2 linked regions of the Cricetulus griseus genome follow. The protein of the gene in region 1 purifies or fractionates together with the protein of each later gene. This does not show direct contact. Links are inferred from orthologs where the notes say so. Each region holds a gene or a part of one and is shown on either strand. Other genes may lie near its edges.

Region 1 (4,223 bases):
CTACTAATACACAGAAATTCGAGGCTAGCCTAAAGGGGGGTGGGGTGGGTGTAGGGAGGGGCAGGGAGAGGTGGGAGGGTGTAAGCTCAGTGGTAGAGGGCTTGAAGGGTGCTGAGAACTCCAGTCTTCAGACAGACCATTGATGATCCAGTTTTACAGAGGAGGATACTGAGGCCAAGCAGGCGTCACCTGACAGATGTTGCACAACCTGGACACAGGGAAAGTTGGGTAGAGCCTGGCCCCTTCTTGGACCTTGCTGCCCCTCCAGCCCTCTCCCCAGGATGAAGTCAACATCAGGACCCAGCCCCACTCACCCCACTCTGTACAAACTCCTTGCTCCCATGAATTTGTATATAAATGGTTTTTACCAGATCTTCCGGACCTATCTGTGGACGGGACAGGGAGTGGGTGGGCTGCTTTAGGTCTCAGGATCTTGGTTTTGCGGGGCTTGGTCATGTAATCCCACCTCCCCAGAAGCTGAGGCAGGATCTCAAGTTTAAGGCCAGCCAGGATTGCAGAAATACTATGTCAGAAGCCAAAACCACGACAACAGGTTTGTTTTCTGAGGCCACCAATGGCCCAGGGTCAGCACTGGGTGATGCTCTCTCTAACAGAACCCCGATGTGAGGCAGAAGCAAGATCATAAAGCCACCAAGTGGCAGGAAAACAAAGTGCTGGAGCCTCCAGGAGGAATCGAGTCAGGCTGGGGAGTTTGGGGAGGTTCTCTAGAGAAAGTGAGTCAGTGAGACGGCCCAATCTGTGTTTTGTTGTGGGAGGTATAGGTACCCCTCAGGGAGGGTATCTCAGATGGCATGCTTAGCCGATACAAAGGCCATTGCAACAGAAGCACGTGTCTGCGGCCCAGGACCCTGCAAGTCCTTCCTCCCACCGTCTCTTCCTTCTGGGGTGACTACCTCCACCGGTTTAACATTCGGAAACTCCTAGATTCAAGAAAGGCCATCAGTTGTCCGCACACCATGAGGTTGAAGGGAGGGGACGCGGACACTGCGAGACCGGCCGGGACTTACGCTCGCCCCCTGGCGGCCACCGCGCGCTCCGCAGCCGCCGGTCCTTGAGGGAGTAATGGCGCCGCGCACAGCGGATACGGGAGCGAACAGCGCTCCCTCCAAATATGGCCGCCGGGGCCGGACGGCCCCGTCCCGCCGAAGCCGCCTCGGGACCCACGTGACCTCCCGCCCCACACAGTCATGGCCGCGAAGGTCCAGCTCAAACCAGTCCGTGATTGGACCATATAAAGATGACCCACCGTCCAGTGTGCGCATGCACACCGCTTCAACCAATGAAAAGACAGAAAGCCTTCCGTTCGTCCCGGGTTGCGTCACTTCCTCCGCCCCTGCGGCAAGGGATAAGAAACCCTGCGCCAAGACCTCCTCCTTTCCCAGGCGGCTGCCGAAGATGGCGGAGGGACAGGTCGGGCTCTGCGCGCGCCGGGAGGTGTGGGGGGTCGGGCGGGCGCCAGGCCGGAGCGGAAGGGGCCTCCGCTCCGCTCGGCGTGTGCAGTGGGACTTAAGGACGCAGTTGAGCAAAGGAAGAACGTTTTGACGCGAGGGCAGTGTAACGTGGGCATAGCGAGCCGCGCATGTCTTTAGGTATGGGGCGACGGAACGCTACGTGTTTCCCGGGGAGACGGGAGTGGGGCTTGGGGCCCCGACACCCGCTAGCAACCTTGAGAGGTCCGTCTCTCAGACACTTGGAACGCGGGGAGCTCGGGGCCGCTCGCTGCTGCGCTTCTGATGCGAAGCTGCTGAGTTAGAGACTCCTGGTTTCGGGACTCAAGCGTGCCGGTTTCTGTAGCTTCTGTCAGTCCTAAGGGTGCTTTCAAAGTCTTTAAGTGTTACGGGATGAATTAGTGAGAAGCATCGGGATTTTGAGGCTATTCAGTAATCGAAATCACCTTTGCTGGGGTATTTTTTCTTCTTAAAAAATGCTTGGAGGATCTCTGCCCGTCTCTTGTCGTTTGGGCCGGGTTACAAGCACATGCCAGCCACCAGGTGTGAGACTTGAAGACTGCTGCTTTCCAGAATTACAAACTAGACAGGGCAGCCATTATATAGTGAATTATTGGGTTTTGCTTTATACTATTGGTATGGTTTCTGTTCCTTGTGAGCGAGTTGAGACTATGATGCAGAGCCACCGTGGCCTAAACTTACCCCAAACGAAGTCTTAGCATGGGATTTTGTTAAAGGCTGGCTGCTTGCACAAGAAGTAGTAGATTGCAGTTTTCCAGCCATTTGAGTCTTTGCATGACAACGAGATGAGGCTCAGTTAAGATTGCAGGCACTTGAACCCTTCTCACGTGCTGCTGGGGCAGCCTTGGGCTTTCTCTTGGTTTGTTGTACCCCTTTGGGGCACCTTATCTGCTTGATAAGTCATCCTGTGGGGAAGGGCACTGGCATGAGTGGTTGGTAACTTGGTAGAGAGAGCCAGACTGCTTCCTAAGCCTTTTGTCTCCCACAGGTTCTAGTGTTGGATGGCAGAGGCCATCTTCTGGGCCGCCTGGCGGCCATTGTGGCAAAGCAAGTGCTACTGGGTAAGTTTCATTCAGAATTTCTGTTTGCCTGCAAGTCAGTGATGAGCAACAATCACCATCTTTCGTTTGAGTCTCACGACTGTGAGATCAACCCATGCACCGCTCTGAGACTTGACGGTCCCTCCTGGACTCCTTCCTGGTTCAAGTGGTTTTGGAGCAGGAGATTTGCACTTCATCTAGGATGTGGTTTTTCTGGGTGTTTAGGGGTGACTTTACTGGCTGTCTTCACAACCCATGTTCTCTCTAGGCCGGAAGGTAGTCGTTGTGCGCTGTGAAGGCATCAACATTTCTGGAAACTTTTACAGAAACAAGTGTGAGTGAGGGCCCAGGGCATCATCTCTAGGTGGGGTGCTGACCTAAGTTCTGGACAAGCAGGTCCTTGGTGTAGACTCGACCTCATCCACTTTTCTTCTTGGCAGTAAAGTACCTGGCTTTCCTCCGAAAGCGGATGAACACCAACCCCTCTCGAGGCCCCTACCACTTCCGAGCCCCGAGCCGCATTTTTTGGCGCACTGTACGAGGTGAGTTGGGCCTGTGGGTGCCATGGAGAATGGGGAATCTGGCAGCCTATGATGAAGCGATCTCCCACTGGTGTTCGAGTTTCCCAACTATGAGACAACTCTACATGCACTACCATCTGAGGCTGGGTGGGCTCCCAGATCTGGGCTAAGAGCGCTTTTCAGCCCCTCTGAAGGGAGTCCTGTTCTTCCCACAGGCATGCTGCCCCACAAGACTAAGCGAGGCCAGGCTGCCTTGGAACGCCTCAAGGTGTTGGATGGGATCCCTCCTCCCTATGACAAGGTGAGCAGCGCAAGCCTAGCTTTCCACAGCCTGTGTCCAGCGTCTGTGATGTTCTGCTATTACCTACATTGTTTGAGCCTCATGAAAACGCCACTAGCTGAGACGCCTGCCCCACCAGCCTCCTTCCCAGGTGATGCTCACAAAAGGTCTCTGAGCCCTTCTCCTTCTCTAACAGAAAAAACGGATGGTGGTCCCTGCCGCCCTCAAGGTTGTGCGGCTGAAGCCTACTAGAAAGGTAAGCTTAAAGTTGCAGAGTGGTCTAGGTGGGACCTGTAGACTGGCAGATGATGTTTTTTTTCTCACGATGGTCTTCGGATGCCACCGATTGGCAGTGCCGATAATGCCACAGGCTCAGCTGATGCCAGTAGGGGCTCCTGTATAGGGGGATATGTCCTTTAAGAGAACCTCTAGGGTCCTTTAGCTCACCCTTGTGCTGCCGGGACACCCATGTCCTTACAGCCTTGTGCCCCTGCAGTTTGCCTACCTGGGGCGCCTGGCTCATGAGGTCGGGTGGAAATACCAGGCAGTGACAGCCACGCTGGAGGAGAAACGCAAGGAAAAGGCCAAGGTCCACTATCGGAAGAAGAAGCAGCTCTTGGTGAGGACAGGACCCTCACATATGCCCTGGGGCGGGAAAGGGTAGTCTGGGAGAGAAAGCCACTCACCGCTTGTTACTTCACCTCACAGAGGCTACGCAAACAGGCAGAAAAGAACGTGGAGAAGAAAATAAGCAAGTTCACAGAGGTCCTCAAGACCAACGGACTCCTGGTGTGAGCCCAATAAAGACTGTTTGTGCTAATGCCTGCCTGGCCTGCTCTTCCTCCACCGCCGACCAGGGGAGTGGGGACAAAGGTGCTTTAGTCACTGCTCC
Region 2 (3,648 bases), on another chromosome or scaffold:
TAAGCATAAGATTGTGCACACAAACTGGAGATAATTTTATGTAGTTACTTACAGTGTACCTGTATTTTTACTGTGACCCATCACATGAAATCAGTGTTGGATTTGCTAATTGCTGCTTGTCAATTCTTAATTTGGGGGACTTGGTGTGGATGTAGTTCAGTGGTAGAGTACCAGACCCTGTGTTCAGTCCTCAGCACTGTTTAAAAAGAGAAGTAATAATAGTTTCAGACCTCTGAGCATTTTTTAATTTACTTTCAATTGGGAATAGTAAGAATAGTAAGAACTATGAAACTTTGAGGTGCTTCTAATTCTGGTAGTGGTGAAATGACTTAAGCTAAGTTACAAAAAAAAAAAAAAAACTGTTTCTGTGATATCTTTAGAAGAGGTTACAAATTTTTTTCAGAGGGCATGAATAAATAAAGATTCAATGTGACTCAAATTTTACCATCAGAATAAAATGTGAGTGACGAGTTAAGAAAAATTTGAAATTTAACGAGAGTTGTGTGCTGTTGAATATTGTGAGAGTATGTGTAATCAGGTGGGGGTTTTAAGGTGAGTGTTAGAACATCACCTAGCATGTAAGAAGCCATGGGTATGGCAGCTAGAGGCGGAGAAAGAGATGAAGCAATTCAGCTAAGACAGTTACTTGACCATTGAGCAAATGTGAAAATTTAATGTGTAATTCTCATGGGTGTGGAAGGGTTTTCTCTTAAAATCAGAAAACTTTTTCTAAAAAATTCAGATAGACATTAATTATGAATGCTCAAAGTGCTTCTTAGAGTCAAATTTGAAACTCATAATTTGATGTAGGGTGTTTACCGAGAGACAGAAAGCATGGCCAATGGCAAGGAAGAGAAGTGAAAGACTCTTGGATCTCAGCCTGTCTAGGAAATACTAATGTATTAATGAGAGGAAAGAGGGTGAGGGATAAGAGAGCACTTGTCTAATACAAATCCCTGTGTTCAATCTTCAGGACCACCGCGGGGGGGGGGGGGGGGGGGGGGGGGGGGGGGGGAGGACACGACACAGTTATGAAGTAAAAACTATATAGTATACCATGTGTACCTTATATCCCAACTCAATTATGAGTGAAGACAATTTTGCCTGATCTATGTCCTACCTGTTTATCCCCTTCTAGTTGGGTTGTAATATTGCTGAGGTACAGCAAAGGCTACAATGAAGAAACACTATCTTTTAGAGTTTTCTAACTTTAGTACCCCAAAACTAAGAATTTTGTGCCTAAACCATATAGAGTTCATATTACAGTCCATGTTAACAGAAGTATAAGAGGTTCGGTTGCTTTCATGTTTCAGGTCAGCAAATTAAAACGACACATCCGCTCTCATACTGGAGAGCGCCCGTTCCAGTGCAGTTTGTGCAGTTATGCCAGCAGGGACACATACAAGCTGAAAAGGCACATGAGAACCCATTCAGGTAGGACTCCTCCTGTCTCGGTACTATGAGCTGCTCCTCAGTGATCCTGTAAACTGCCACATGCACCCAGGGCTTGACTGAAGGGAAGGAAGGCTGTTAAGAAAAGCTCTGGTACTGGGTGGTGACGGTGCTCGCCTTTAAACCCAGCACTTGGGAGGCAGAGGCAGGTGATCTCTGAGTTCTAGGCCATCCTGGTGTACAGAGTGTGTTCCAGGACAGCTAGGATTGTTACACAGAGAAAATATCAAAAAGAGCCAGGTGGTGGTGGTACACACCTTTAATCCCAACACTCGGGAGGCAGAGGCAGGCAGATCTCTGTGAGTTTGAGGCCAGCCTGGTCTACAGAGCTAGTTTAAGGATAACCAGGGCTACACAGAGAAACCCTGTCTGTAAAGACAAAAAAGGACTCAGAAAGGATGGTTCTAAAAATATACCGGAGAATAATTTTATTCAATTTGTGTCTTTTTATAACTTAAAATGGTTCTTTTAATGAAGATATCAAATGAAATTAAAATCTAGTATTTAAACATATAAGCTGGGTGTGGTGGCATACACTTTTAATCCCAGCAAAGGCAGGCAGATATTTTATATGAATTGAGGACAGCTTGGTCTACATGGCAAATTCCAGACTAGCCAGGGCTACATAGTGAGTCCTTGTCTCAAAAAGTAAAATATGCCTGGATAGATTATCTAACCTAATTGACTCTGCCTGAGTACTATCATTTTGAAAACAGAAAATCTTATGCTAAGTATGATAGCACAAGCCTATAATCTTCACACTCGGGCTGAGGGGATCTCTAGTGCCAGAGACAGTTCTAGGCTACAAGACAAGACCCTGCTTCTAAAAATTTATATTATAGCGCCCTCCCCCCCAGGTAAGCTTTGCCATAAGAACTGTGATCCTGCTGGGCCTTGGTGGCGCATGCCTTTAATCCCAGCACTTGGGAGGCAGAGGCCAGCCTGGTCTAAAAATCAAGTTCCAGGACAGGCTCCAAAACAATACAGAGAAACCCTGTCGGGGCAGGGGAGGGGGGATGGGACTGTGATCATAAAATGGAAGGCTATGTATGTAGAGAGCTGAGTAGAGCAAATGTATAGGGTTTGCTAATTCTGAACAGTTACACCTTCCTTACCTTAAGTAAGGCCTTAGATTCTGTGTGGCCTAACATATATGTCTGCCACTCAGCTACTCACCACCTAAGCCGTAATATTTATTCATTTAATGTGTTCATTCTGTATTTCCTTTTAAGGGGAAAAACCATATGAATGTTATATTTGTCATGCTCGGTTTACCCAGAGTGGTACCATGAAGATGCACATTTTACAGAAGCACACAGAAAATGTGGCCAAATTTCATTGTCCCCACTGTGACACTGTCATAGCCCGAAAAAGTGATTTGGGTAAGTAGATTTACTAGAGGCAAATAAAGAACTAATGAAAATAAAAGTATAAAGACTTCACCTTAAACTCAAACTTTTGTGTCTGTGAACAGTTTACTAATTAATGAAATCATTGCTTAGCTCCCTCCCCCCAATATCTTCTCTCTATTGGAGTCTCACTACAAGATAATATATCCTGAATATAGATTACACATAAGTTAAATGGGAACCAGTATACCCGTAATAGTAGCTTTCATCCCCTAAATGTTCAGAAAGTAACATATGTTTCAGATTAAGGTCAGTTTCCTTCTGGTTTTTAAGAGTATTTATACATTCTCTCAGTAATGGGAGTACTTTACTGGTTTGGTGGTAACTATTCTTGTATATAGATAAGCCAGAATTACACAGAGGGAGAATTCATCTGTAGGAATGTAACCATGCTTACACATAGGATCATCTTGAGTTCTCTTTCTGTGTGTTAATGTCATTGTTTCAAATTCAGTGTAGTTCTAAAATGACTTATACTCCCCTGCCAGAATAAACACAGCTTTCCCTCTTTCCACCATTCTCATCTCTGTAAATGGCTGTGCCATTTGGTGTCATCTGCAGCATCCACTTTTCTCTTTGTCAGTTAATTCCTATTGATCTCCCTTCCTGGCCTCCATGTCTAATATCGTCCTCTTTGTTCAGGTTTCCATCTTCCACCCACTGGTCTCTCCACCTGTTGTTATTGGTGGATTAGAGATAGGGAAGGGAGGTAGGGACTGAGCCCAGGGTCTCACACCTGCTATGCAAGTGTTTTACTTCTGATCTCATGTTCTTAGGCTGTGGAGCA

The links.
Region 2: the proteins of Rpl13a (region 1) and Ctcf purify together in Homo sapiens (affinity purification with mass spectrometry; 4 studies listed by BioGRID and IntAct, with this or other methods). This does not show direct contact. The link is inferred for Cricetulus griseus from reciprocal best matches to the Homo sapiens genes RPL13A and CTCF.

Annotation. Positions count from the first base shown.
Region 1 is NC_048599.1:154,013,308-154,017,530, reverse strand, and holds Rpl13a (60S ribosomal protein L13a), read left to right. Parts: upstream 1-1,339; 5' UTR 1,340-1,416; coding exon 1,417-1,431; intron 1,432-2,478; coding exon 2,479-2,551; intron 2,552-2,582; exon of another isoform or gene 2,583-2,665; intron 2,666-2,798; coding exon 2,799-2,864; intron 2,865-2,970; coding exon 2,971-3,072; intron 3,073-3,113; exon of another isoform or gene 3,114-3,198; intron 3,199-3,266; coding exon 3,267-3,352; intron 3,353-3,390; exon of another isoform or gene 3,391-3,460; intron 3,461-3,527; coding exon 3,528-3,587; intron 3,588-3,631; exon of another isoform or gene 3,632-3,720; intron 3,721-3,827; coding exon 3,828-3,950; intron 3,951-4,039; coding exon 4,040-4,126; 3' UTR 4,127-4,153; downstream 4,154-4,223. Other genes in the region: Flt3lg (fms-related tyrosine kinase 3 ligand), read left to right, coding at 160-285. UniProt on the Homo sapiens protein: Associated with ribosomes but is not required for canonical ribosome function and has extra-ribosomal functions.
Region 2 is NC_048596.1:181,953,805-181,957,452, forward strand, and holds part of Ctcf (transcriptional repressor CTCF), read left to right. Parts: intron 1-1,313; coding exon 1,314-1,434; intron 1,435-2,684; coding exon 2,685-2,834; intron 2,835-3,648.